Nothobranchius furzeri: one gene and its partners. The protein of the gene in region 1 interacts with the protein of each later gene in a pairwise test. Links are inferred from orthologs where the notes say so. Each region holds a gene or a part of one and is shown in the gene's direction. Other genes may lie near its edges.

Region 1 (4,082 bases):
GGACTACAACTCCTCGTCTCACCAAATGTCATCAAACCAGGCATGGAGAAGAAAAATGGCTGTGAGTTTAACGAGCTTCCAATCCTTCTTCCAGGATGAAAGAAGGAACATTAAACGTGTAGAAAACCACCATAAATCTTGCGATGATGTAAGCAGCAGCTACGCTAGGGGAGAGGAGATTCTGTGGTGACATCATAAATGTGACTTCTGATTTGTAGTTTTTTTTAATTATGGATATTTACAAACTAATAAATCTCAAATTACATGACATAGTCAAAACACACATCATTACCAGATTCTTACTTCACTCCCACTTCCTGTTTGAAAAATGCAACAAATTTTGTGGCCTAGCACACCAAGAGGGCGGAGCCACTAAAACACACGCACACACGCACGCACACACACACACACACACACACACCTACACACACACACACACACACACACACACACACACACACACACACACACACACACACACAGGCTCACAACTACATTGTGACATCAAATGGTACCAGCTAATGTTCTAGGATACCCCTTAGCCAATAGCGATGGCAGATTTAAATTCAAATGCAGTGCAGAGAGTTTACCTGACAACAGCACAACACTGACAGTTTTAGGCAGAAAATTAAAATTTTAACTAAAATGCACTAAAGTGTTAATCTATTGACTACACGTGTCTGCAGCACGATTAGACACTCATTTATTTAGGGTGATTTGGGGGTGACTTGCTCTTTAAGTATGTACGATGCGTGTGATTTAGGGCGAGAGGATAAATGGACCCAGAAAATAACTTTTTGACTTCATTCATTTCTTTTTTTTTTTTTCAGGAGACCCATGGCTTTGGCTACCTATAGATCATTTTGATTTCTTCTAAAATTTCAGGACCATTTTTTAAAAGTTGATCCATAATGAGCAGAGTGTCATAATTAAACATGTACTGTGTTCGTTAGCCTCAATTAAATATTACTGATCCTGGCCAGCTGGGTTGAGGTTGTCGACCATTTTCACTAACAACATTACTTATTAATTTAATGTAAACAAAAACGTCTTTAAAACTCTTCAACTATTTAAAAACTGACTCTTGTTGAGACAAATGCTTTGAATCCAGCCTCCTGTCTGGGTTTCTCCCTGCTCTCATTTGAAGTCTCTAAAAGAGAGAAAGGGAGGGAGGGAGGGGGGAGGAGGTCTGTTTTTTAGAGGGGAGGCGGGATCTTGTGACTCACCAGCAACTTCCTCAGTAGTAGGACAAAAGTAGCCGGCAAACTGCATCCATCAGAGGTCTGACTTCAGTCAGAACTTAGAAAGTTTTACAGAGACGCTGTTGGAGGACCTGACTGATCCTAGATCTGATCAGAGCTGGACTCAGCAGACAGAAAAGAGTGCTGGGAAGGTGCTTCCTCTCTCCTGGTAAGAATAAATTTACATCCCTCATGGATTTTTCTACTTTTTTTCCCAGATAAACTACTTTAAAACTGATATTTGAACAAATTCATTGGCGTGTACAAAGTTTCAGGCCCATTTAAAATACCAAGTGAAGCTTTAACAGAAAATAAAGGTTCAGAAAGAATCAATGAAGTCTGAGCATTAAAGAAATGTTGGGATTATAAGCCACTGGATATTGTTTTATAAAAGGATGGCATGTGGTGTATCAGGGCAAAGGGTGAGTAGAGTCCAAAATTTAACATACTTTTCTGTTTCTTTATGATTTCATCAGTAAAAGTGAATAAACAGGTGGTGGATAAAGGTTTAGCCTTTCAGTAAAATGTCCCAGAAAATTACAACAGATGTCTGCATTATCACACCTATTTTTGTCGCTCTGCTTAACGCTTGTCTCTTATACAGAAATAAATTAACCAGTGAGCCAAAAACCATATAAATAACATCATCTTGGTGGGAAAACGGGCTCTGCTGGCTTATGTGAGCCACTTACCTGTATTTAAGCAGGATTAAGAGCACAACATTGGTGTGTGAGCCTTCAGAAAGCCTAAACGTGTCATCTCAGTGGCAGGAGGAAGTGGGATAGAGCAGTGTGCGTCTGCTTGGGTGTGTCTGTGCTGCAGCGTCTGGAGTCGTTTTGGCTGAACATCAATACGTCGCATTACATAGTGAGCTGTCATCATCGTAACGTCTGCTAGGCACACGTGTTGCTTCATGTGGGAGCTGGAGGAAGGGCAAAGTGTTCAGACTTGTTAATAAGAAGGATGGATAAAGATGTGGGATGGAGAAACTGCAAGTCCTCACACAGTCCTTCGTTGTGTTGTCTTGGCTTTAGTTGGAAGGACAGTCAGAGACATTAGAGGCGTGAAATGTGAAACGGGCGATTATTAAGGGAACGTTTCACTTATTTGACTGATTTCTGGATATCAAAGCAAAGGATCACGTTGAATGTTTGCATCATGAACTTCTTGTTGCATCAAACCAGAAGCGACACACTGAAACTATGCTAAAGCCCTCCAACTACAATCCCTTTCCTTATTGATTTGTTTCACCTTTTCCAGGTTAGCATTCTCCACTTGTGCACCAGTTTGTGTCTGATTGGATTTGGCTCTTCCTCAGAAGATTGCACACCAAATTATTGAGAGATTTAGTGTGAAAATTTCATTCACGGCGGCTGAAAGCACAGAAAATGAGAGCAAAACTGTGCGATTAGGAGGAAAATGCTAAACCGACTTCAGAGATCATGCATCGAATGAAGCAGAGCTATATGATTTCAGGAAAACATGCAACCGCAATTTTTTTTATTGTAACAGTCAGTGATATCCACAGCATAAAGCCACATGTTGGAACACCGTCCATGGCTGTGGGCATTCAGGGGAGCATATGATTGCAGTTTGTTTCCAATTAGTTGGAATCTTTTGTGTTATTGCGGTCTCATATTGATAAATCAGTACGGTTAAAACATGATATATTGTTAAAACGTTCATTTATTTACATTTCAAGAGTAATCATAAACCCTGCTGCATCGTACATGAGCTGTGGTTGGTTGAATTCTTTACTGATACTTTAATACATGTGCAGGGGTCTCTAGTAGGAAGGAACACCTTGTAAGTCATTCTCTGGAGGGAAAAGCTCTGGCGTGCCTGTTTGAGGACGTAGAAGTCAGCCGGAGGAGAAAGACGCTTCAGACGATAGGATTGGGAGTCTTATTTCCTAAGATTTGGACATCTCTATTGGGATTTGGATGACAGCAACGCGGCTCTGCCAAAGCTGATTTTTTTATCCCCACAAATAATACAAGCCTGAAGGAGTTCTGCTGTGTGGTGGAGTTGCTAATGCTAACGTTAGCTTCTACTCTGCTGTTTGCTAGATGCTAAACTAACAACAGCCTTCCCCATTGCGAGCCAAGATAGGCGAGTCCATGAATGTTAAATGACAGTTTGACGTGGATCTGTCAGGCTTTTCTGAACCAAGCATTTTTTTTCGAGTAGTTTCTATCAGAAGCAAATGCAGGACATAAGTGTAGGAGACTGTTTTCAACATTCAGTCTGTGTGTTAAACTCAGAGTGACCGATCATTTTTAAAAATAAGAAGTAAAAAAAGGTTTTTCAGTGAACCTGCTCTTTGCATAACGTGTATTTGAACCTGAGCTCAGCCCGTCCTCACTAACACAACAGCCAAAGCCACTCCAGCTCTGCTCTTTTCTGTCTGTAGCTGCAGAATTTATAGCCTGGAGGGCTTGGAGGAATCCTGCTGTGCTCTCCCCACTGACAGGTTATTTTTACACAAACTCTTTGTCCTGGTAACAAGCAGAAATAATTCTCTAGCAGCCAAAACTCTAGTCATTCTATCCCATTTAGCAGCTGGGAAGTTTGCCTTGACAGAGCCCACAGGCTGTACAACGTATTTGTTTTCTTTTTTCCCGTCTTCCTCCCTCTCCGTTTCATTGACCATGCTCACATTCCTCGGAGGTCTCAGTGTTTTCCAAAGGTTAGCCCTTAGCCCAGCGCGATGGTTGGAGCACGGCCAGTTCTAAACTGCACTGGGATGACGGCTGAACAGCTCGGACTGGTTTTATGCGTTGGCACCATTTGAAACAGAGATAATGATGGAGGAAGTCAAGTGTATGCAGGTGGTTTGGG
Region 2 (4,416 bases), on another chromosome or scaffold:
CAAATATATCAGGACATTAATCCTCTCAGGCTCAAATTAAGTTTTGATAAAAGGACCAACAACTAAGTCCTTCAGGCGTACTTCTGAGTTAAAAAATGCTGATGAAATACGTATGTGGGGTAACCAGGTAGGTAGGTTTTAACGTTGCAAACTTGCAACACCATGCCTCCTGAGGGTTAAAAAAACATTAAGAAGGGTGAGAACTGGTTAGAATCTTGTTTTAGGGGAAGAGTTCCCCATTCTCAGGGAAGGTTCCACACCAGGGGTCACCAACCTGGTGCCCCAGGAACCATATAAGGTGCCCACAGGCCTTTTCTCCAAATAGAACAAGTTTGAAACAAAATAGAACTCTGCTGCCACCTGTTTCAATGGAACGGCAGTAGCTCCAGAGGTAGAGTCAGTTGTCCAGTAATCGGAAGGTCGCAGGCCGATCAAAATTCGACAACGGATTACGAAAGAATGGATAATGCTTGAAACATGCAGATTCTTTGTGGAGTAAGAGGTGAGTCTACTCTTTCTTTTGTTAGTTCTGGCGTTGATATCATCCTAGCACGCAATGTTCTGTAACTCTTAAAAAAACATTGAAAACGCTGAAAAACGCTGGCAGCGCAGGGCTTTTCTGATCAAAAAATGGCTGGCAGTTCATGAATTAAGTCACTGCTTCCTTGACGTTCCAAGTGCTCTGACCTGGGCCAGCATCACGACTGTTGGGTGCTGATTGGCTAAGTCACTGGTTGTTCCAGAGCTTTATGCCTGCAGCCATTTCCTGGTTCAGACTCTGAGCATTTTTGTGCTAAGTTGTGTTTCATACAGTTCACCTCATGCTGTTTACTGATTGTATCATGCTATTTTTGTCTTGAGTAAAGATAAGGTTTCTGTTGGCCAGTCATAGGTAAGATATCCAAATATCAGGAAATAAGACTCCATATCCTGCCACTTTCTCCTCTAGCTGACTTCTACATCCTCAAAATGGCGCACCAGAGCTTTTTTCCCAGAAAATTGATTGCAAGGCATTAATTCCTACTGTAGACCACTGCAAATGTATTAAAGCTATGAGTAAAGTTGACCTTTAATGCCTATGCTCTGCTCTCATCAGGGGTCCAAACTTTCTGTCATGGTGGCACTGGCCCCCCTTGGAACCCCCCACCCCACCGCCCCGGTGGAGGCAATTTTTTCCTTGTAAATTACAAAACTATCAATTTATATCACATACTTACAACGGTTACATGTTCTCTAATAACAAAACACACTTGTAACCTTGTCAGTCCTCAGAATAAGACAGTTTTTATGCCCTATAATAAAAGTAAGAAAACTAAAAACAAAATTATTCACCCAATAAAATTAAGATTTTTGTTTAAAACCCATTTAAATAAACTGTTTTGTTAATAATTGGCAAATCACAACAATCTCTTCTGTAAGATTTGATTTTCTAGGTTTTTTTTACGCCAAACAATTTTAAAGTCTCTATAAAGTCTAAACTAGATCAGGCCAAAAAGCCGTGACTTCGGGTGTTAACGGACAGCCATGGACACATGTTTAGTTTTTTTTTTTAATCGGGTTGATTATATTTCTTCAGATGAATATGTGCGCCTAAATCTCCTCCCACCTGCCTGGTAAGAAGGTTGAGCGCTGCAGATGAGTTTTATAGCAACTGTTGCCCAGTGAGGCAACGCCATAGTCACCGTAGTCCTGGCGACTGTAACCCACCAACAACAACCTCTGGCTCCATCATTACCACCTCCTCCAACATCCTCATCTTCATCAACCAGTCCGCAGCTCAGGTTTGGCTCAACTCTTCGCTGTTTTTAGCCCGAATGCAAGCGCTTTCTCCTCTGACAAGATGAGAGGGGTTTATGCGGGAGGTTTGCTTCTGGTTTGTGTTTTGTCTGCTGCTGGGTTGAAGGCTCTAGCGAGGGTGTTTCTTTGTAACGTGTTAGCCTGCTTTGCTAAGGTTCCTTGTGGGAACTCGTTATGAGAAGAGCTCCTGCTTTGCTAGCAGAGATAAGCTATACGGAAATAAGGAACGCTGCGGAGCTAAAACGACTTGTAAAAGTGTTTCTATTATTGAACATGTTTTGTAGTTTTAACTTTCCACGCTGTGGTAGCAGAGCTGCCGGCTAGTCAGCGTTGCTAACTGGTCAGCTGGAGCAGGTGTCTGTTGTTGCTAACGCCAGCGATGCCTCCTGACAATGCCTGTTGGTATCCTGTTTTTTTTGGGAGGCAACGTCAACGCTGATGTTGCAAGTTTGTGTTTCGATGTGTAGGAAATCTGGTCGGTTACAGAAAATCTGTACGGCTGTTGGCAAATGGAAAGTGTCGTAAGCTAGCCCTGCACTCACTCACTGGTTGACAATAGCTAAGCCATTACTTTCCCTTTTGTCTTTTGCTACAAGATAGCTTCGCTAGCTCTCCATCTGCCCTCTTTGTGGCATCAGATGGCTGTGATAAGCTTTCAGATAACACCACACTAAGTTCTGCAGCTCGGAGAAAATAGTTCTGAGTGAGCTAACATTTTCAATTTGGATAAAGGTTGTGTTTAGTGGAATCATTTAGGGTTCTGAGTGGCACATCCTGGAAATGGGCTGGTAAACGTCATTGCACCCCGTCGAGTTATTTACTTTTTAAGATTTGTTAAATTGACATTTTTTCTAAAACTATTAAAACAAGTTCAGACCTAATGAGAGAATTAGTTTAAATGGTTGCCTATTCATTTTACATATGTATAAGGAGAAAGGATTTCTTAACAGGTGGATTTTTAATTTTTTATGGAATTTTAAACATAATTTCTGTCAGGCAGATTTGTTGTATACCTATTCTTCCCAACAGTATAACAGCCCGGCATTTAGGGGTGCTTTAATTCTGTTGGTGCTCCATTTAAAATTGGTTTCTCTGTGTTGCATCACATTTTATTCTTAGGTCCACTGGGTCTCATGTTCACCTGCAACCTCTGAATCCCATTTGGGAAGAAAGCAGGTGTGTGTGTGTGTGTGTGTGTGTGTGTGTGAGGGGAAGGGGTAGGTGGGGACTTAGGATGTCCTGATTTATCTTCAAGAGCAAAAGGTTATTGTTCAGTAAAAAAAAAAAGGTACAGGTAAACTTCATAATTCCTTTTTTCTTATAGTGTTTTAGGTGTTGTATAATAATTTGTGAATCCAACCCAGCTGGACCCAACAGCGCCACAGCACATCATCTCCACTGGATCAACATAAAGCTGCATAATCTGAGCACATTATGGTGTTATATACTAAAATCATTTAGATCTGTTCACATGTACAAGCTAAATGAGGTCATCTTGATCACACACACACACACACACACACACACACACACACACACACACACACACACACACACACACACACACACACACACACACACACACACACACACACACACACACACACACACACACACACACAAAAGTGGATGTTAGGAGCTGGCAGCTATCAGATCAGGTTTCCACTTACCTGTGGTCCAGAAGGGCAGAAATAGTACCATGCCACCTGCTACCTGGATCCTGTTGCATTTCCAATCACTTAAAGAGGGGCTGATTAATTCAATTATTCTGTCGGCCATTTTCCTGGCTTTAGCAGCATGTTTGGTTTGTAATTTATCACAGCCATCCTGCTGTAATGTTAATGAAATAATGGTCTTTTTAAAGGTGATTACTTCTTTTTATTATCACTTCCTACTCCTGGTTATTGAAATGAGCAGAAGGCCTGTGGTAACCAGTGATTTCTGACACTTTTCATTAGCTTCACCTGTATAAACAGATGAGATGTTCAACAGTCTCATGGGATCTTTTATAAATGCAAAGTTTTTGACTGTGAAATCAGCATTACTGGTGCTCACGATGGAAGTCAGTCCCTCTTTCCTTTGTAATCGTAACCACCCCCCCTCCTCCTTCTCCCCCTACACAAACACAGTTCTTTGCATACCCTCCACCTCCTCAGCTCCCAATTAGATTTCCCTCCACCTGTTTTCCTGCCACCTGATCAAACCACCAAGAACAAGAAAAGAATTTCTCTCGACCGCAATCAGTCTTGTTCACTCTCGCGTATGCCTTTACTCTATACATTACACGTCCAACTTTGTCATTACGGAGGAAAATTATAGTGTTCTGTGGTTTCCGTTAGCGGCTGCTGTGAGCCTCGTGAGCTCCAGGATTGTGTGGCCTGGTATGCTAGCAGGAAGAAAACTCAGGGTGCAGTGTTGCGCTCCTTGGTGGCTTTTGTTCCTTCGTGTCTTTGTAGGGCTCACACTTGCTCAGTGGAGCACGGCGTTTAAGTGGGCCACAAGGGAGCGTCTGAATGGTGTGTGTGTGTGTGTGTGTGTGTGTGTGTGTGTGTGTGTGTGTGTGTGTGTGTGTGTGTGTGTGTGTGTGTGTGTGTGTGTGTGTGTGTGTGTGTGTGTGTG
Region 3 (4,023 bases), on another chromosome or scaffold:
CTCAGTAAAAACTAAACAAAATAAAAATGAATGAAATAAATATCTAACCCAAACACAAAAGCGGAACCAGCAAATCACAACTTTTTTTTCTTGATAAAATAATTCAAAATTTTGTTCATCAGGAAAATAAAGCGTGTAAAACACACACACACACACACACACACACACACACACACACACACACACACACACACACACACACACACAGTTCATTCCATAGGTTAATTCACAAGGAACACATCTGAAGATTCTTATTTCTTCTATGCCAAAATATCAAGTATATAACACATTCTATTTGAGGGTGCCTTTCTACGACCCATGCAGGGTCATGCGGAGATAAAAAAGAAATAAGAACCTAAACATTAATAAAACAGTTAAGAGCAATATAAAAGCTAAAATCAGGTAAAATCTCTATCTAAAGTGAATCTGCTTGAACAGATGTGTTTTGAGCTGGGTCAGAGTAAAAGATTCAGTGTTTGGGAGGAAGTGAGTTCCAGAGACTATAGGGCTTATTTTTGTCCCTTAACTTCACAATATAATCTTAATATAATTTTAATTATGTTAAATAAGCTTATTTTTTTGCATTTTGGGGAGGTCAAAGGCACATGACGTTGCTTCTATTTGTAAACTTTGCTCCTAGTAACACTCTGGTTGTGCAGCACCAGGCTAAAGACCAAAGGTGACAGATCATTTGCTGCTGTGGCCCCCAGACTCTGAAACTCTCTCCCCCTGAGCCTGAGATCAGTGGACTCAGTGGTTTCCTTTAAAAAGCAGCTGAAAACTCACCTGTTCAAGCTGGCTTCTGCGTGACCTACGTCACCACCCTAGAAAGAAGCCTAAAGAGCCTAGAAAGAGCAGAATAAAGAGAGCTCTCCTTATTCTGCTCTTTCTATTTATTCCACCTTTCCCCCACAGTACCTCTTTCCTATAAATTTTCTCTCTCCCTTTACTTACATTATTATTTTTATCACTCTTTTTATTTTATTTTTCTCTCAGTTTAAACATATTTTTAATCTTTTTAAAAAAATTTATACTATATTAATTTTTTGTGAAGCACCTTGTGATTTTTATCTTGAGAGGCGATATATCGTTTTCTTTCTTTTCTTTCTGCCTGTCACTCAGCAAGATGGCTACACATAATTTATGACTAGGTTCTATCTCAGGGGTCAACCTGGTGCCCCAGGAACTAAATAAGCACAAGTCTGCAATAATAATAAAAAACATTTCTGCTGCCATCTTTTTGATCACAAATGCATTAATATATATTTTAAATCTACACAATACATTATGTTTATTGTACATGAAGTTTAGTTTAACTGATCTATTCCAGTTCAAAGATCAGCCTGGTAGTCCTTCGTATGGCTCAGTACCTCTGAAGTAGCTCTCAGCTTCACAAAGGCTGGTGACCCTAATCTATCTGAAGCAAACTAAAACCTTAGAAATTATGGTGGAAAATTTAACACGTACAGTTCACTTTACCTTCCAGCAGGTGGCAGTAACGTTTTACCTCGTCTTACAGCAACGTTTACGGACAAAAGAAGAAGGTACAAGATGGCAGCGTTCGTGAGAAGCGTGTTATGTCAGCTTTCCACCGAACGAAATGCATTTCTAACCAAAACTAACACTATTATCGTCGAATCCAAACGACTTGTTCGTGGACTGAGGAGGAAACCTGTCCGAGTTTTGTTTCCTGAGAACGACTCTAGTAGAGTGGTGAATTCTCATCAGCAGCCAGAAGAAAAAGCGACAAGAATCACTTCTAAAACACAGAATATTGAGAGAAAAGATGCAGTTAAAATGAAAATCACTGAGCAGTCGAGTGGAAAGCGTCCCCAGGTTGCTGTTACAAGGGATCAAGTGGACGGAGTTCGCTTTGAGAGGGCTTTTCCCGGAGACAAAAGATTATCGTGAGCAATTGTATTAAATCTCATATTATTTTTAATTGCCACGAGCTTGATTGCATCCCATTGTGTAGTCTATTATCTTAAAACAATTATTATAATTGTGATTTGATTTTTTTCTTGTAATAAAAAATAACCATAAACGCTCAGGCCTACACATGGGGGTAAATTACTAATATTTCGGTCCAGAAAGTGTAGGTGATATCACATGATGAGCTGTCTCTCCCTCTCCACCTCTCCACCAGGAAGCTAGTAAGCGTTGCTCGCTCCAGGACATTCCGTGAGCACCAGGGCAAAATCCTCCTTGAGGGCAGGCGTTTGATCTGTGACGCTCTGGAGGCCAACGCCAGTCCACAGATGGTGTTCTTCAGCACCGTGGAGCGACTCCAGGAGCTGCCTCTAGACAAGCTGAGAAGAGCCACGCTTGTCAAAGTCAAGTCTGAGGACATAAAGATTTGGTCTGATCTTGTTGCACCACAGGGAGTGATCGGTAAGAGTTTTATTTTGAGGTGTAGGTATCCTGAGCTGTTTGACATCCAAATCACTCTTTAAACTTTCTGCAGCCATATTTTCTCGGCCAAACCCGGAACGGTTGAACTTTTCACAAAGAGGACAGTCCGTGCCGCTTTCCCTGATATGTGATAATATCCGGGATCCGGGTAATCTTGGGACCATGCTGCGATGTGCTGCTGCTGCTGGCTGCCACAGAGTCCTGCTCACAAAAGGTAATGCTGATACTTCCAGTTTAACATCTGAGCATCCATACACAGCTTTTAATGTCTCTGCTTACAATCTTCATAACAGGTTGTGTTGATGCTTGGGAGCCTAAAGTTCTACGTGCAGCCATGGGTGCACATTTCCGACTACCCATTTATCCCAATCTGGACTGGGATGATGTTAAAAATCATCTGCCTAAATCGGTGACTGTCCACGTGGCTGACAGCGGCCCCGACATAAGTGCTGAAACAGGGGGAAATGGGTCTCACAAACCGTCCAAACCAGGAGACTTTGGATGGGTCAGCTCAAGGCCTGATGGTAAAAACATGTTGTACCAGGAATATGACTCTGACTCAGAGTCTGACTCAGAGTCTGACTCAGATTCTGAAGACGAGGGCCCTCAGCTCTCCAGAGTGGAAACCAAGCTGTACCACGAGACCTGGACTCGGAGTCCCTCTGCGCTTGTGATTGGTGGAGAGACGCACGGTTTGAGCGTGGAAGCGGTCCAGTTAGCTGAGGAAACCAGCGGTCACAGGCTTTTTATTCCTGTTGTTCCTGACGTGGACAGTTTGAATTCGGCCATGGCGGCCAGCATCCTTTTGTTCGAAGGCAGGAGGCAGCTGTTAACGCTGCTGCAAACATCTGGGAAGAAACGTCAGTCTAAACCTGAGAGGAACTTTTCCTGAGGTTTCCAATTGAATATGGAACCAAATGTATCATAATCCATCTGTCTTGCAGTAAAATCCCGAGTTTAAATTAGGTTTTGCAAAGCTTATGTATCAGGTGTTGTATTTGTGTTCATATATTTTGTTTTAAGGACTACTTTTAGCTATGTCATTGAGCCAATTTATGAATATTAACTGATCTGTAATTGGAGGCTATTACAAACTTTCCTCAATCATTTGACATAAGTCTTTGGAGTTTCACTGTTTCAAATAATTGTATATCCTAATTAATCAAAGACAACTTGAATTTCTCTTTAAAACAGCAAAACGCATGTTTTAAAGATTTTAACTCAAAACATTTTAACTCATATCACGAGTTCAGAAAAAAACAAGGTTGTTTTTGAAATGTCACTATGGATTTAATGGGTAGATATAATAAAATGCAACAAAACACAGCTATAGTTTATCTGCAATAGTTACAAAATCACTGCTTACTATAGCAACTAAATGACAAATGACTTAAAATGAGCCTTAAAACCAGATTGATCATGAAGGAGCTACCTTTCCATAGCAAACATTTCCTTTTTGTATAATTTAAATTGAGCTGTTAGAATTAATAGTTGTGGATAGTCTGAGAAGTAAATTTAACCTTTAGAAGGGAAGGCGAGAACTATAGTTAGAATAAATTTGCATAAATAAAAATGAAAAAAATTGGATTATGCAATAAAAATTATGAATCG
Region 4 (4,393 bases), on another chromosome or scaffold:
GCATTTCGTATTCTGCGCTTCAGGCTGTGTGTGTGTGTGTCTGCATGTGTGTGTACACGCGTGCGTGTGTGTGTGTGGGGGGAGGGGGGGATCTTGTTCTGTGTGAAAACGAAGCGGTACAAGTGATAATGCTGCAGGATTTCATACTACTCAGCAGCAGCACTGCAGGTGCTCTCCATGTTCAACATGTGCGTAAGCCAGGTCCTTAGTCAACTTAAAGTTTCGTACATTTTTCCGCTAAGTTTTCCTTCATAAATCCTAAAGTTTGCGTGGAAAGTTGCTTATGCAGTTTTCCGACCCCGTTTTGTGCGTAAGCAAGCTTGATAAATGCGACCCAAAGAAAGTAGTCGAGTGTGAAAAGTGGTCAGTGTGTCCTCCAGCAGTCTAAGCCTATAGCAGCATAACTACAGAGATAACTCTGGATAACCTAGCCTTTTAGATGGAGGCATGTTGGAGGCAGGGCAAGGGAGAGCCGTCTTTACTGACTGTACACTCCACCTCCCTCTACTCCCCCATTTGTCCAGATCTAGGCTAACATCAGATTTTAACCATAGGCCCTATCAAATAAAAATGTTTTAAGCCTAGTCTTAAAAGTAGACAAGGTGTCTCATCTCTCATCTCAGCCTTCAGTCTGACAGCGCAGAGCCAGAGTTGGTGCAGTGTGCTCTCTGAATGAATCAGTGAGTGTGTGTGTGTGTGTGGCACAGCTCCATGAGAGGCTCCACAAATGAGTTTCTGGCTACGCCACAGATCCAAGGTTCGCAAATATAACTTTGGGAAGAAAAAACAAATATTGTTACTTTTCTATAAAAAAGATTGCAACCATTTCATTTCGATGGACCCAGTCGTTGACTCAAAATCAATTGCATTTAAACGTCCTTCACTGTATCTCGATTGATCATGTGACCAGGCTACTTGGCTAAGGGGATGTCCCTTTGGCTCTGTAGTTAGTGCGCGTGAGTTGCCCAGAAGTCTGGGGATCGAATCCCACCTGGGCCCTCATTTCTCCACCTTGCCACAATAACAATTGAAATAAATGAGTGTTTGTGTAGTTCATATACATATAGTGTCAATATAATTTGATAAATAATAATTTTATAATTTGAGTGTGAGTGAACACGACAACCCGTCCATCAGAACCGACTGCTTAGTGATATTCTGTTTATGTTTAATTTTTGTGTCTCTCCTCCTTTCTGCAGATTCTTGTACATCCTTTGTTTATTTTTGTGCCCCCCCCCACACACACACACACACACACACACACACCTCTTACTTTGCTCTCATTTAATTTGAGGAGACCCGTCCAATATGGCGGCGACTATGTTACGCTTTCCCACTGCCCAATGGGGCGTCTACGTATTCCTGTCGGTCTGGCTACCCTAATGCTGTTCCTGCGCCTCCAAAAGTTTACTGCTTTAATAGAATACATAATAAGCGTAGTAATAAATACACATTATTGGTCCCATCGTTCTGACAACAGGGGAAGTTAGAAAGGGTCCTGCCAGAAGCCGCCGAGCTGTTTGGAACCGGGCTTTGGGCGGCAGCATAGATACCTTCTGCGACTGTAAGGAGAGACGAAGAAGAAAAGTACTTCCGGGTTCAGGTGGATGTTTTGCTTCTGATCGATCGACCTCCGTCGGTTCGAGTCCTCCGTTCTGTCATCGATACACTCGCTTTCACCCCGGATCTCTGCAATCACACCAGCTCCCCGATGGCCTCCAGGCGGCCGGATACTTTCGACGGGTTTGGATACCGAGCCCGCGACGATCCGCTGTACGGAACCGGATACTCGGTCCGGAGCTCCGGAGGCCCGTCCGATCCGCAGCTCCACCACTGGGTCACTACGCCACCGGACATCCCGGGCAGCCGCAACTTGCACCCGGGAGAGCGTACCCCGCTGGAGGACGAGCTCCCAGCCGGCCATGGAGGTCCCGGAGCCGGCTGGGAGGGCCCGGGATCGGCGGTGCCATCCGCCGGTAGGTCTCCCTGTATGCCGGGGTTCTAGTCTATCTAACAGCGTCTCAGGTCCAGGTGTCAGTGAACGCATCACAGGCACTTTACTCACCTGCATACGTGTGTGCGCGTGTGTATGAGTGAGTGTGAATGAGAGAGAGAAAGGTCGGGTTGACCAGTTCCAATGGTTCTGGTTTCGACTCTGTTTTTTTCTGTTTGGGTTCCAGATCAGCTGAACCGGTTCGCCGGGTTCGGAATCGGTCTCGTCAGGTAAGCTCCCACCAGACCCCCTTGAGCATAATTCATCCAGGTTCTGGTTCTGCCTCCGATCTGACCCGGTTCAGGTCTGGACTCTGCAGCTCCACAAGCCCGGTAGAGTTTACATAACCAACACTTTAAACCTGGCCCCTAGACAAGCCCATCAGAATCTGGTTCTGGTGAAGGAAACTGCAGCTTTTCTTAATATCACACCAAACTTCTCAGAGTCTGGTCTCAGCCTGTCAGGCAAAGCAGAGGGATGAAAGCCCCTGGGACAGGAGGGATTTTCAAAATAAAAGTCTGTTTGTAGTCTCTTCACAGAGAATGTGCTGGCCCACCCGTGCATCGTGTTCCGTAGACAGTGCCAGGTACATGTCTGATCAATACCTCCTGTACCTGTGGGGATCTGCTGCCTTCTGATTGGCTGTTTGTCTCAGGTGAACTACCACGCCCGCTGTTACCACCTGACTCCATTCAGCATCGTTTCTGTCATGTCAGCCATCACCAAAGCTCAGGTACTGATCAGCTGATCCATGAACAAGACCAATCAGGTTAGTCAGAGTCCATGTGTGGATCAGGTGATGCTGTGTCCCACCAGGGTGTGAAGGCGCTGTGGAAGGGGATGGGTGGCACTTTCATCGTTCACGGCATCACACTCGGCGCCGAGGGCATCATCAGCGAGGTGACATCGTTACCACGGTAACCACATGGTCATCATTCCTCAGGTCCACAGAACTCAATTCTCCCACTACAATTCTTCCTTCTTCCACTTTGTGTGTGCGTGTGTGTGTGTGTGTGTGTGTGTGTGTGTGTGTGTGTGTGTGTGTGTGTGTGTGTGTGTGTGTTTACAGGGAGCTCCCTCACAACTGGGGCTGGAAACAGCTGGCAGGACATTTACTGCTCAAAGGGTTTGTTCACTTCCTGTTGTTGTTGTTGTTGTGGTTGTTGTTTGACTTCCTCTGTCCCTCTCTCACCCACAGATTAACAGCTGTTGTAGCTCTTCCATTTTACTGTTCGAGCCTCATCGAGACCGTCCAGGTGACTGATTATTGATTATTGATCAAGATGGCTTCAGGTAAACTCAGACTTCCTGTTGGTGGTCGGTTTTGAGGTCATTGGCTGTTCACTTCCTGTGTCCATCTAAAACTCAATGAGCCAAAGATGGAGTCCGTTATGTTGGACCCTAGGAACCTAACCAGCGCATCGTCAGAACCAAACCTACCAGGTCCGGACCCTGGACAGGGGGGCTTTGTGTTTGCTGCCCCATCCTCTGGAAGGTTCCACATCCCAATCCATCAGTCCTCATCCGTCGCTGTCTTCATGTCGTGCTTGAAGACCTAACGTTGTTATTGGCTTTTGGACGGTGACTCTGTTGTAACGTTCTCTTTCCCCTCACTTTGTTTTTAATCATATTTATTGATTGGTTTTAACAATTTTAAGCGATCCTTTTATGATTATTGGCTGCAGTATGGCATGTGTCTCATGATGTCATCACATGCTCCGGTGCAGTGAAGCTGTGTGTGTGCGCGTGTGTGTGTGTGTGCGTGTGTGTGTGTGTGTGTGTGTATATATATGTGTGTGGGTGTGTGTGTGCGCGTGCGTGTGTGTGTGTTTGTATATATGTGTGTGTGTGTGTGTGTATATGTGCGTGTGTGTGTATATATATATGTGTGTGTGTGTGCATGTGTGTGTATATATATATGTGTGTGTGTGTGTGTACGTGCGTGCGTGCATGCGTGTGTGTGTGTGTTTGTTTGTGCGTGTGTGTGTGTGTGAGTGTGCGTGCGTGCGTGTGTGTGTATGTATGTATGTGTGTGTGTGTGTATGTATGTATGTGTGTGTGCGTGCGTGTGTGCGTGCGTGTGTGTATGTATGTTTGTATGTGTGTGTGTGTGTGTGCGTGCGTGTGTGTGTGTGTGTGTGTGTGTATATTTGTGTGCGTGCATGTGTGTGTGTTTGTTTGTGCGTGTGTGTGTATGTATGTATGTGTGTGTGTGTGTATGTATGTATGTGTGTGTGCGTGCGTGTGTGTATGTATGTGTGTGTGTGTGTGTGTGTGTATATTTGTGTGCGTGTGTGTGTGCGCGTGCATGTGTGTGTGTATATATGTGTTTGTGTGCGTGCGTTTGTGCGTGTATGTATGTATGTATGTGTGTGTGTGTGTATATTTGTGTGTGTGAGA
Region 5 (3,041 bases), on another chromosome or scaffold:
TTTTAATTCATCTTTATTTTCTTTTTTTGTGCTTTTTATTCCAGATTTGGCTGATTTCTAGTTTTTTACAGACTGCTCTCTTCCCGAGCGCCCCTCGAGCTCACGTGTTGTTTTTACCCAACAGGAGACGGAGAAGCTGGAGGAGGAGAAGGCGGACCTGCAGAAGGAGATCGAGAGCCTCCAGAAGGAGAAAGACAAGCTGGAGTTCATGCTGGTGGCCCACAATCCCGTGTGCAAGCTGCCCATGGATGAGCGCCACCAGCCGCAGCAGTGCGCCCCCCTGCCGCTCACCATGCGCCCCAACATGAGCTCACGGGCTCATCTGAGCCAGGTGGTGGTGAAGCAGGAGCCCGAGGACATGGAGGAGGACAAGGTGGGCAAACCTCAGCGCTCCGTCATCAAGCCCATCTGCCTGGGGGGCGGCGGCATCAGCGGCGGGATGTACTGCCCGGACGGAGATAGCCTGAACACGCCGGTGGTGGTGGCGTCCACTCCAGCTGCCACGCCGAACGCCCCCAACCTCATTTTCACCTACCCCAACATGATGGAGCCCGAGAGCCCGTCGCCCTCCTCCGAGTCCTGCTCCAAGGCTCACCGGCGCAGCAGCAGCAGCGGCGACCAGTCGTCCGACTCCCTCAACTCGCCCACGCTGCTGGCGCTTTGAGCTTTTTGGGGCAAACGCCAACACTGTGGCCGAACCCTGCCCCCCACCCCCCCACCCACCCCAGTGTCTTAGAGCACATGTTAAAGTCCAGACAGTGTGAGCCGAGGGGACGGGGACCCACAAGGGCTATGCCGCGCTCCCGCTCCTCGAAAAGACATCAACCACTTCTACTCCAGAGTGTCGACCTGTCCACCGCCGCGTCTGCAGAAAGACGGCGCCGGTGCGACCGAAGCCAGAGAACCTCCTAATATATAAAGAATATATAATAATATATATTTTTGAAAGCATGGAAGCAAAGCCATGTGGCTCAACGACACTTGCACTCTGCCGAGACCAATCGGACGGTAAACGACGGAGCGAGGCCGGCGCCGTTCCGGGATTTCCGAGGAGAGACTTTGGATGAGGCGGGAGCGCGCTCCTGCTGCGACCTCCATCATCTCGTTGTATTTATGGCCCGTGCTGGTTGTCCTCTCCTTTTTAAACCTGCCTGTAGAAAAGCAGCGTGCTCGTCTGCCGGGCGCCGCCTCCGCGTCGCTCGCCGTCGAGCCGGTCGGCGACCAGCTCCTCAGTACTTTCTGTTTTTGCCGTAGTGGCTTGAATTTACGGTAGTCTTGTGTTCTTTTCCCAAGTGATTCGACGTTTTTGTTTTTTGTTTGGACAAAGTGTACGTGATTTACATGGATGTCAGGGATTCCCTCTCCTGTGTTCAGTGGAAACTCGTCGTGACGAGTGTTTGCAGGACTGCTGGCTGTTTCAGGTGGTACTTTTTTGATTGCATTGCCTCGCTGCGTCGTCTTTTTGCTCAGACATTTCATAAAGTTTGGACACATCCCTCCTCCTGCTTTGTTCCCTGAGCAAACTCTGTTATTTTTTTGTATTTCCCCCTGCCTCTCACAGGCAGATCAGGTTTCTAAGAGCCACAAACAGCTTTTCTACGCCGGTGTTTCGTCAGTCTTTGTCTAAAACGGAGGGATTTTGGCCAAACTTGAAAACAGCCACGTTGGTCCAGACTGCCGCCAGCTGCCAAATGATGTCAACCCTGTTTCTACGGTGTTTGTAAATCTGTCACTTTTAGTAAAGAAATGATGTTTAACTTCTGCTCAGATGTGCTGATCTCTGGGTGCACGAGGTACCGACCGGATCCTAGCCAGCGCTTTTTAGACGAAGGGACGAAGAAGACTTTTTCTGCAGCTGGCCTGACGTGAAAGAGTGAACACTTTAGGGAACTTATCGGCTGTTGTTTGTATTTTTTAAGGAGGTTAAAACGAAGCGCACTGAAACAGACGGAGCAGCCATACCGGAGATTCTTTGTTTACTCGAGAGAAAGAGTCCAACTTCAGGGGTTTTTAACGGAAGCCGCCATCTTTGATTGAACCTTTTTTAAACGTTTCACGTTGCGTCGGATGCAGAAACCACATTGTGCAAGCTGCTGATACTTGTTTAAAAGGAACAGGTGGGCTGTTTTTGATTTGACGTGACTCCGTGTTTAATATTGTGACACGTCGAGGGGAGCCGTTATTCCAGCGTTGAGAGATGAGAGGAAAACCAAAACCATCTGTTTGTCGGAGCGTTTTAACGCCCCTGGACGCTCGTAGAAAAGCCGTCGACGGTAGATCATCTACCGTACGTGTCATCAGCCGTCTGTCGCCCGTTCAGCTACTGTTTCTTCTTTTTCCCAAATGCTTTACCTGTTTAAAATGATTCAAAACGAATAAAAACAGCAATATGTATAGCAGTGTTTGTTAATTTAAAAACAGTAATAATAAAATAATTTTCAAGTTGGAGAAAGTATTTTTTGTTTTTATTGTTCTAAAAAATCACAAAGAAAGTTTAATTTTATTTTATTGTTGATGATTTTTTTCTACACTGTAAAACATTTTGTGTTTCGGTTCATTTATCTTCAGAACTTCAGAGCTTTATTAACAAATGATAGATGGAAACATTATTTTAAATATGTTCAGGTCTAGAAAAAAAAAGAACATTTGATTTTTTTGTATTAAATGATAAACTAATAAACTTGAAGGTAAAATGAGCAAATAAAAAATCTGTTTGAGTCGCTCCTGCTTCACCTGATATTAGAGAAGCAAAAGGATGCTGTGGCTTCTCGGGGTACGAGAAAAAGCTTCTGGGTCGCTCCTGTTTGCTGGCTTTGGTTCTCTACAAAACACTGGCCGGTGTTGAATTACAAATGTCGGCCCAGCAGCGTCAGCCGGCGCAGCAGCGTTCGTTAGCCGGCCCAGCAGCGTTCGTTAGCCAGCCCAGCAGCGTTCGTTAGCCAGCCCAGCAGCGTTCGTTAGCCAGTCCAGCAGCGTTCGTTAGCCAGTCCAGCAGCGTTGGCCAGCCCAGCAGCGTTAGCTAGCGCAGCAGCGTTAGCCGG
Region 6 (4,390 bases), on another chromosome or scaffold:
TCCTACAGTTTAATTGGTATCAGTTGCTATTCTCGCTTGTAGTCCTCATTTCACTTCTCTTAATTTGTGTTATGTGTGCTAAATACTGGTTTATTTGAGTTTTATTCCATTTACTCCATGTGTATCCATCCATGACGTCAGTTCAGTTGAGGTGTGGTATAATGCCAGGCTAATTGGCAGCATGGTTTAGTAGTGTGGTACTTGCAACAGCAGTACCTTGGTTTGACCACCAGAGGTCCCTGGAGATCATATAATTTGTCAGTGCCTCTGAGGCTGGAAGTCACAATATTTACTCTGTGTTACCCTTGAATGTGCATCATTTGGGAATATATTTGTTTTTGCTTAGTCTTAAACGTTGGCATATTTACTTCACCATTTGTACAATCCTTTTACATCATTCTTTGTATTTATTTTCCAGACCACACGGAACCACAGAAATGTACAGATGTCCATACTTCAACTGTCATTAAATACGTAAAACTGTCTCTCCGTGCCCTGCTCTCTGACCGGAGCCCTTATCTTGAAGATACTGTCAGATCAGCAAATAACTTCCAGAGTTCCCACTCTATCACATTGTTACTGGTCAGAATAAAGGTAGTGATGTCATTGTTACTGGTCAGAATAAAGGTAGTGATGTCATTGTTACTGGTCAGAATAAAGGTAGTGATGTCATTGTTACTGGTCGGAATAAAGGTAGTGATGTCATTGTTGGCGTCAGGCACTATTCCGGAAGGGCAAACAGGTTTTTGACCGCTGTGGCATGAAGACGTTTGAATGGGAAAGTAATCGGATTACTCCTATCATTGTTACATCCTGGAATGCAATCAACATTAAACAAGAAGCATTATCATAACAACTCCACGCTTAAGGCTGTTCAAGTAATTTAGTCAACATCGGATCAACACAGAGCGTCAACCAGGTCCCGGTCTAGCAGCCTCAGGAGTTCGAGTAATGGACTTGACTTCTACAGTTGCCTTCTTGAAATCACAATCTGGTTTTATTGTGTTCTTAGATATTGGTTGTGGGCTTCCATGAGTTTTCATAGTCAAACTTGGTTTCACTGAATTTTATTTGTTGTTTTTTACTTTGTCAAAAATAGCTCTTCTTCCTGTTATCTGTTGAATCTGCTTAATTTTAACTATACTTTTTAACTTGATGAGAATTTACAGAAATGAAAGAATAACTTTAAAGATTAGGTTAAATTGTGTAAATTATACAAACTGCACAACAGATTTCCATCCTGGAAAAGAAGAGAACGAAGTTGAGCTGACACTGCTGGGAGCTAGGGACTCCGGTCTGACAGGTAAAAATCAGGCAGCACAATGCATCTCTGTCGTTCAACAGCAAAATAAATGGTCAACTGAATACAAACAATAAGGTAGAAGGAACATAAAATATGCACTTATTAACATCGTTTTACATTTCAAATACATTTCAGTATAATATGTAATACTTACGTTTACTTTTGCTTTTTTGTAAGATTGACAATAAAATTGTAAAAGTTGTTTGAAACAAAGTGTTCTTGCAGATATTTGCAGATCCAACCCTAACACGTTCTCCTCCCCGCCTCGAGGGGGCGTAGTGGGACTGTAAACGCTAACTGCTTCACTTCCGGTCACATTTTCCTTCCGCGGTTTTGTTCAACGTAACCCCGACGAGCTAGCTCACCGGACTTCGGTACAAAAAACGATACAGAATGAGCAAAGCACACCCGCCAGAGCTGAAGAAGTAAGTTCACGTGTTTAAAAATAACAATTAGAAATTATTAATTTTGTTTCCACGATTTTAACGGAAAGAACGTGTTAGCCTGTTAGCTTTGCTCCATTCTTTACCATGAGGCTAACATTAGCAACCCTGCCTGAACTGTGAACCACCGTCGCCTGAAATGTTGTTTTATGTTTCAGATTCATGGATAAAAAGCTTTCATGTGAGTATGGCGTTTTACGAATATGTCTTTAAAGCCCCTATTGTGATTATGAAGAGTTTATAGTTTTAAGGTGCTAAAACATTAAAACCACGTGACGGAATAATAATCGATTGCATTTGTGTTGCGCTTTACATCACGACAATCTCAACGCGTTTAGAGGAAAGGAAAATGTTGATTATGAAAGATGAAAAGCTTTACTATAAAAGATCTACTAGAGAGAAACGTTTTCAGTCCTTCTTAAAAGCCGCTTGTAGGTTGGGGTGTGCTTAAACTCTCAGGGTAGGGTTAAAGGTTAGAGGGTGGAGGGCATTGTCCTCCGTGGTGCTCAGCCTGGTCTGGGTCTATGAAGCAAGTCTGACAAAAACCAGCAGATTTAAAATCCATCTAAGTCAAATCAAAAGGCTGAGAAGGGTTGGGAACACCAGAGCAGAAGGTGCAGCACGAGGAGCAACGACTGACAGGAAGATGAATAAAGAGACCAGAGATGGGGCACATCTGAGCTCGCGGGGAAGCTGATTTCATCTGTGTGCAGCATCACCCTGCTTGGTTCTGACCCGGTGCAGCTCAGGTCTGAATCAGTTATGAGTCTTTGTCCTTTAGCTCTAAACTGTAATTCTATCTGTGTGTGTTGTAGTTAGTGTTTTATCATGTCCTGGTGACTGTAAAGCACATAGGATTGCCTCTGTGTTTGAAACGTGCTCGAGACATAAAGCTGCCTTGTCTTCGTTCCTCTGGAGCCGAGCTGAGCAGTAACGTCCATCCTAACCTTCTGATTCCCAAAGACGATAACTTCAGTCTCGTCTTTGTTAAACTGGAGGAAGTTAGACTGCATCCGGTCGTTTGCTTGCCTCAAACACTGACAGAGTGAGTCTAGGGATAGGCAATTGTGAGTATACACATGCGCAATAATAAATATATTTCTTTGATAACTTTTAAGAGATCATTCTGTTGGTGTAAAATCATTTTTTAGGCATGTCAGCTAATGTTTGGTTAGATTTTAAATGTTTGTATTTACTTTTGTTTATTTAGCTGCATAATTGGGGTAAATAGCTTGGTTTGCAGGGGTTCTGTGAAGATTGTGCAGGGTTTTTCCTGCATTCAAATTAGAGCTGAGGAAAATAATCGATGCATCGGGATGCGGACATAAATCGTAGAAGAGTACGCCGTAATCGATTATAGTGGAATGTAGTTTTGTTTTTTTAACGGCGGCACCAGCATCTGTCAGAGTGAGCGTCCTCCACATTTACCACGTGGTTCCGCCTTGATGTGGTACTGCATTGCTGAGCGCTAGAGTTGTAACCTGAGCCGGAACCAAATCAGCCCGACCGGTTCTGTTGGATTTGGGCCGTGAATTATGTTAATTGAGCGGGTTGTCATGTGGCGCGCTCCGCTCGATCAGAGAGAGAGACTGTCTACTCACACGAGAGGATCGCAGGACGCTCCTCTAAACCGATGCTCCAAACACGCGTTATTGTTTTCATAATTTCTCCTGGAAGCGCTCAGTCAGACTTAGGGATGGGTACCTTTGACATTTGAATCGATCCGGTACTAATTCCCGGTACCTAGGAATCGATACCGGTACTTAACGGTATCAATTTTAGATACTTTTGAGTGTTTATTATTTTAATTCTCTTTTATAATTAAATATATATTTTTCTCAATATATAACCATATTTGATAAATATCACGATAAAAAACATACAACTGTTTGTATTTTAACATGGTCCTTGTAGTTTTATAAGCTGATAATTAAACTGAAGCAAACGTCTTTACTGTGAACTAAATTTACTGTGTATCTTCATTCCTTTTGCCGTCTTTTTCATTTGATTTTTCCTACTGGGAAGTTAGAATTTCCGAGGAGAAAGCGAACGCACCATTAGCTGATAACAATAGTAGCAATGGAAGCTAACATACCAAGCTAACGTTATCTTTAACAGTTTATTTAGCTGCTGGAGCAGATTAAAACGATGATGCCTCACACTTAGATCGTTGTCGCTGGTTTCATCTTCACCCAATCACCCGTCGCATTTAGTAAAGTGAAGCCAAACTTTAGAGCGCGTTCATGTTATTCCAGTCGGAAATTCGAAGTTCCGAGGAGAAAGCGAACGCACCATTAGCTGATAACAACGGTGGCAATGGAAGCTAACATACCAAGCTAACGTTATCTTAAACAGTTTATTTAGCTGCTGGAGCAGATTAAAACGATGATGCCTCACACTTAGATCGTTGTCGCTGGTTTCATCTTCACCCAATCACCCGTCGCATTTAGTAAAGTGAAGCCAAACTTTAGAGCGCGTTCATGTTATTCCAGTCGGAAATTCGAAGTTCCGAGGAGAAAGCGAACACACCATTAGCGAAACGGAAGCTAACATATCGAGCTAACGTTATCTTAAACATGTTATTTACCTACCGGAGCAGATTAAGATGAGGATGTCTCACTTAGATCGTTGTTACTGGTTTCAT
Region 7 (4,083 bases), on another chromosome or scaffold:
GCATCATGGGGGGAGGGGTTAAAATGATAAATGACCCGCACTTGTATAGCGCCCCTCAGAGTAAGGACTCCAAAGCGCTTTACACTACAGTGTAAAGCGCTTTGGAGTCCTTACAGGTTCCCTGCAACTGAACCTGGATTCAGGTTCAGTTGCAGGGACAGGATGACTGGTTGCAATCAAGGGAACAATGAATGAGGCCAAGTACAGGAATATCCTGGACGAGAATCTTCTCCAGAGTGCTCAGGGACCTCAAATTGGGGTTAGGTTTACCTTCCAACCTGACAATGGCCCTGAGCACACAGCTAAAATAACAAAGGAATGGCATCACGACAACTTTGTGTGGCTGTTCTTGAATGGCCAAGTCAATATGGGGTGTGTGTACATTAATGAGGAATTAAATGAATTTAATTGATTTTAGCAAATGCCTGCAAAATAACAAAGAGTGGAAAATTGACGGGGGTCTGAATACTTTCTGTACCCACGGTATATGTGGGCCCAATAATGAAGAAATTATTTGGTCGAGTATATCTTCCATTCATAAATGACTTGTGCTGGATCCCATACTGCCCGCCCTTCAACTCACTCACAGATATTGTCAAAATCTGCCAGACTGTTTCATAATTTTTAAGATGTTGTCCTTCTTAACCAGTTCTAATGCTGCCAGGAATGCCTGGTAGCCATTATTTACATTTTTTAAACCAATGGCGAATTGTAAATATCCCAAGACTGGTTTATGGTGGCCTGAGGAAACAAAGAATAAAACAGGAGAATTGAAAGCGTGTGTTATTCAAGCCATGTTGCTGTCTGTTGTCAGCACTAATAGATAACTTTATTCTGTAAAGCACTAGGATGATAAAAACATGGCATACATCTAATTGAATTTGTAACTCATTAGCAATCGATTTCAGACGGACATGGAAAAGGTAAACCTATTTATGAGCTCTGAATAAACGTTAAAAGGCAAACAAAGCGCCTTCGTCAGCCACAGTCATGAGGGGCTTGTTTCGATGAATGTTAACAAAGATGGGCGTGAACTCATCGCTGCGAACTCTCACAGCCAACGGGCGGCGTGTTGAAAACAAAAACATTCAGAATCCAGCTCCAAAATGACCGCTCATCTCCCGACTCCTCCCGTCTTCAGCTTGGGTGGCTTGAGCCAAAATGTCCGCCCCCGGTGCGCAGCTTCATGAGTTCTCCAGGTGGGCGGGGCCGCCAAGCAAGAGTCACGTGACCCGCGCAGAGCAAGGCTGACTATCTCCAATATGGTGGCCAGCTTGGCAGGTCTACGGGTTCTGTGGATGATAATAGTGTTGCTCTGCGGGATTAGAGACAGCGCCTGCGGCCAAGAAGTTCCGCAGGTTGTGGGGCTGCGACTGGAGGACCCGGAAGAGCTGGTGTGCATGAAGGACCGGATTATCTCAGCGCCAGAAGGAGCCACGTTCAAGCTCCGTCTCTTTGGGGCTAACCTGAATGGAAGCTGGCCGAAAGTCGCGTTCGCTGAGGCGGCTGACGGAGCCACGGGGGCGGTCGGTGATGCCCCCGACCCGTGCGAAGACGAGTCCAGCCGTCTGGAGTCCGCCTTCCAGGTGACGAAGGACTTCATCCCGGACGAGGAGTTCAGCGGACTGCTGACTGTGGAGGTGAAGGGCAGCGGGCGCAGCCTCCACCACCTGTGTGCGCTGAGCGGGGGCAGGTGGGCTTCTGTTGGCCCGGACAGACTCCGGATCAGTCCCGAGGAGAGTCCCGGAGCAGACTACATCCCGCCGTGGGGTCTGGCCCTCCTGGTGGTGCTGCTGCTGCTGATGTGCGGAGTGTTCCGGACGGTGAACCTGAGCCTGCTGTGGCTGGACCCGGTGGAGCTTTACGTGCTCCACAGCTGCGGGTCCGAGGAGGAGAAACGAGCCGCCAAGCGCCTGGAGCCCGTCAGGAGAAGAGGGAACTTCCTGGTGAGTTTCTGAGCCCAGCAGGTCGGGAAGGCAGCTTTGTGTCCGTGTTCCCACCATTCCTGTTTCCGTCCAGACCTGTTCGCTGCTGTTCCTGTGCGCGTTGGGACACTCGGTCCTGGGGGTGCTGCTGTACAAGGCGCTGGGGTGCATCGTCTCCGCGGTCTTTACCAGCGGATTCCTCATCTTCTTCCTGGCTGAGCTGGCTCCTCACATCCTGTGCTCCGACTACGGCTTTCAGATGGCGCCCGCGCTCACCTGGCTGGCCCAGGTGTGCATGATTCTCACCTGCCCTCTGTCCTGCCCTTTGGGGCTGATCCTGGACCTGGGCCTGGGAAGGGACATCAGCACCTGTGGGATAAGGCAGAGAGCCATGGAGATGATCCGAGCCAGTGTCAACGACCCATACAGGTAAAATAACTTTGTTGGTAAACATAAGGATCTAAAATAAGGGTTTGAATCATCCGGAGAAGAACTGATCTGAGAGGCTAAAACAGGACTTGGTCTAAGTTCCTTTCAGACACCTTCAGTTTGATCTGTGACTTTGTCTGATGGCTTAAAAACTATAAGTATAATTTTTTAAATAAAAACATGCAAAAATGTTATTATTGTGATACTGCAGAAGTATCCAGACCCCTTGAACTTTGACACATTTTAGTTTAGTTTAGTTTATTTCAAACAAAGAAAATGTACATAATTTTTTAAAAAGTACCACAAACAGAAAAAATACATATCATCCCATCTGTGTTTGAAAAGGAGTAGGCTGAAGTGGAAACTTATATATCCCTACCCCTTTATACAAGTCATTTTTACTTGTTTACTTAAATCTAACACAAAACCTACATTAAAACAAACAATTTACAACCACACTTTACTGAGATTTTCTGTGATAGAAGACAACGTAGCACACAATTGTGAAGTGGAATTAAGCTGATTCAAGGTTAACCAAACAGAAACCTGAAATTGTGCACCATTCTGCGTCTAAAGAGACTTACGGTTTTAAACAGACATGCATGTTTTTGGTCTGTGGGAAGGAAACTAGGAAAACTGGAGAAAATTCATGGATGCATGTAGCAAAGCATAACTTCATGCAGAAAGGCTGCTGCTGGGATTAAACCTGCAACCTTCTTGCTCTGACACAACAGTGTTACCAACTGCAACACCATGCAGTCTCAAAGACTTTGATATAGTGGTCTTGGAAATAAAAATGAAGAGAATAAACAAAAAAAAACCAACCTTGAAGCTTGGAGTTTGAAATCTTTGTGCAAAGACTTAAGTCCTGACCTTTCCGTGGACTCAGTCCAGAGTCCAGACAACTAGTAAGTAAATTTTATTTGTATAGCACTTATCACAGACATAGAATCACAAAGTGCGTCACATAGATCAAAACAAAACAAAGTCATCAAATCATAATGATCTCAAAACAGAAATAGATTAACATCAGAAAAAATAAAGTCGTAAACTAAACACTCTAACGTTGTCTGTTGTCTTTGTGTGCTTGTGTGTGCAGTGAGTTTGTGAAGGAGGAGTTCAGCCGTGGGATGCTGCGTACAAAGACAGTGGAGGACATCCTGACTCCTCTGAAGGACTGCTTCATGCTGCAGAGCTCAGCTGTTCTCGACTTTTCCACCATGTCGGAGATCATGCAGAGCGGGTACACCCGGGTGCCCATCTACGAAGAGGAGAGGTGGGAGCAACAGCACAGGGATATGTCTTATTATTACGCTAATGTTTTTATTTGAGTTCATCGTGTTGCAACATGCAGTGCAAAAAGTCAAGTCAGAAAGAATTTGAGCAAAGGGTTTGCATGTTTGGGGATGTTAGATCGGACTTTTTTTATACCTTTTAATCAAATGAAAACCCTAATTTTTACATATTCCTATTATTCACGTTACAGTTTTACATATAAGAAAACAGTTTACTTCTAATCAGCTTCATCATTTTCTCATATTTTAGTTCTGACTGGTGAGCAGGCTGGTTTGAGATGTAAACAAACATAAGTGCTGGGATCCAAACACCAGGGGGCGCTGTAGCAGACGTTACATCTGTGTGATCAGGCTGCTTTCAGCAACTAAAAATACTTTCTGCATCATGTTAAAGATAAAGATGCAAAGCAAGAGGAGTCGTAGGCAGACACTGA

The links.
Region 2: the proteins of fhl3a (region 1) and rfx3 interact in binary tests that used the Homo sapiens proteins (3 or more experiments, as listed by UniProt). The two-hybrid records come from large-scale screens. The link is inferred for Nothobranchius furzeri from reciprocal best matches to the Homo sapiens genes FHL3 and RFX3.
Region 3: the proteins of fhl3a (region 1) and mrm3a interact in binary tests that used the Homo sapiens proteins (3 or more experiments, as listed by UniProt). The two-hybrid records come from large-scale screens. The link is inferred for Nothobranchius furzeri from reciprocal best matches to the Homo sapiens genes FHL3 and MRM3.
Region 4: the proteins of fhl3a (region 1) and slc25a46 interact in binary tests that used the Homo sapiens proteins (3 or more experiments, as listed by UniProt). The two-hybrid records come from large-scale screens. The link is inferred for Nothobranchius furzeri from reciprocal best matches to the Homo sapiens genes FHL3 and SLC25A46.
Region 5: the proteins of fhl3a (region 1) and fosl2 interact in binary tests that used the Homo sapiens proteins (3 or more experiments, as listed by UniProt). The two-hybrid records come from large-scale screens. The link is inferred for Nothobranchius furzeri from reciprocal best matches to the Homo sapiens genes FHL3 and FOSL2.
Region 6: the proteins of fhl3a (region 1) and snrpg interact in binary tests that used the Homo sapiens proteins (3 or more experiments, as listed by UniProt). The two-hybrid records come from large-scale screens. The link is inferred for Nothobranchius furzeri from reciprocal best matches to the Homo sapiens genes FHL3 and SNRPG.
Region 7: the proteins of fhl3a (region 1) and metal transporter CNNM3 interact in binary tests that used the Homo sapiens proteins (3 or more experiments, as listed by UniProt). The two-hybrid records come from large-scale screens. The link is inferred for Nothobranchius furzeri from reciprocal best matches to the Homo sapiens genes FHL3 and CNNM3.

Annotation. Positions count from the first base shown.
Region 1 is NC_091745.1:70,520,430-70,524,511, forward strand, and holds the start of fhl3a (four and a half LIM domains protein 3), read left to right. Parts: upstream 1-1,268; 5' UTR 1,269-1,410; intron 1,411-4,082. UniProt on the Homo sapiens protein: Recruited by SOX15 to FOXK1 promoters where it acts as a transcriptional coactivator of FOXK1.
Region 2 is NC_091746.1:53,263,940-53,268,355, forward strand, and holds the start of rfx3 (transcription factor RFX3), read left to right. Parts: upstream 1-1,612; 5' UTR 1,613-1,781; intron 1,782-1,799; exon of another isoform or gene 1,800-4,416. UniProt on the Homo sapiens protein: Transcription factor required for ciliogenesis and islet cell differentiation during endocrine pancreas development. Essential for the differentiation of nodal monocilia and left-right asymmetry specification during embryogenesis.
Region 3 is NC_091753.1:47,256,128-47,260,150, forward strand, and holds mrm3a (rRNA methyltransferase 3A, mitochondrial), read left to right. Parts: upstream 1-1,514; 5' UTR 1,515-1,551; coding exon 1,552-1,907; intron 1,908-2,146; coding exon 2,147-2,391; intron 2,392-2,464; coding exon 2,465-2,626; intron 2,627-2,705; coding exon 2,706-3,304; 3' UTR 3,305-3,521; downstream 3,522-4,023. UniProt on the Homo sapiens protein: S-adenosyl-L-methionine-dependent 2'-O-ribose methyltransferase that catalyzes the formation of 2'-O-methylguanosine at position 1370 (Gm1370) in the 16S mitochondrial large subunit ribosomal RNA (mtLSU rRNA), a conserved modification in the peptidyl transferase domain of the mtLSU rRNA.
Region 4 is NC_091746.1:69,900,845-69,905,237, forward strand, and holds the start of slc25a46 (mitochondrial outer membrane protein SLC25A46), read left to right. Parts: upstream 1-1,559; 5' UTR 1,560-1,711; coding exon 1,712-1,976; intron 1,977-2,180; coding exon 2,181-2,223; intron 2,224-2,521; coding exon 2,522-2,579; intron 2,580-2,648; coding exon 2,649-2,726; intron 2,727-2,809; coding exon 2,810-2,910; intron 2,911-3,062; coding exon 3,063-3,119; intron 3,120-3,191; coding exon 3,192-3,249; intron 3,250-4,393. UniProt on the Homo sapiens protein: Transmembrane protein of the mitochondrial outer membrane that controls mitochondrial organization.
Region 5 is NC_091758.1:42,824,308-42,827,348, forward strand, and holds the end of fosl2 (fos-related antigen 2), read left to right. Parts: intron 1-124; coding exon 125-664; 3' UTR 665-2,448; downstream 2,449-3,041.
Region 6 is NC_091755.1:44,511,821-44,516,210, forward strand, and holds the start of snrpg (small nuclear ribonucleoprotein G), read left to right. Parts: upstream 1-1,575; 5' UTR 1,576-1,696; coding exon 1,697-1,728; intron 1,729-1,904; coding exon 1,905-1,927; intron 1,928-4,390. UniProt on the Homo sapiens protein: Plays a role in pre-mRNA splicing as a core component of the spliceosomal U1, U2, U4 and U5 small nuclear ribonucleoproteins (snRNPs), the building blocks of the spliceosome.
Region 7 is NC_091746.1:39,506,286-39,510,368, forward strand, and holds the start of metal transporter CNNM3, read left to right. Parts: upstream 1-1,161; 5' UTR 1,162-1,262; coding exon 1,263-1,946; intron 1,947-2,019; coding exon 2,020-2,354; intron 2,355-3,453; coding exon 3,454-3,630; intron 3,631-4,083. UniProt on the Homo sapiens protein: Probable metal transporter.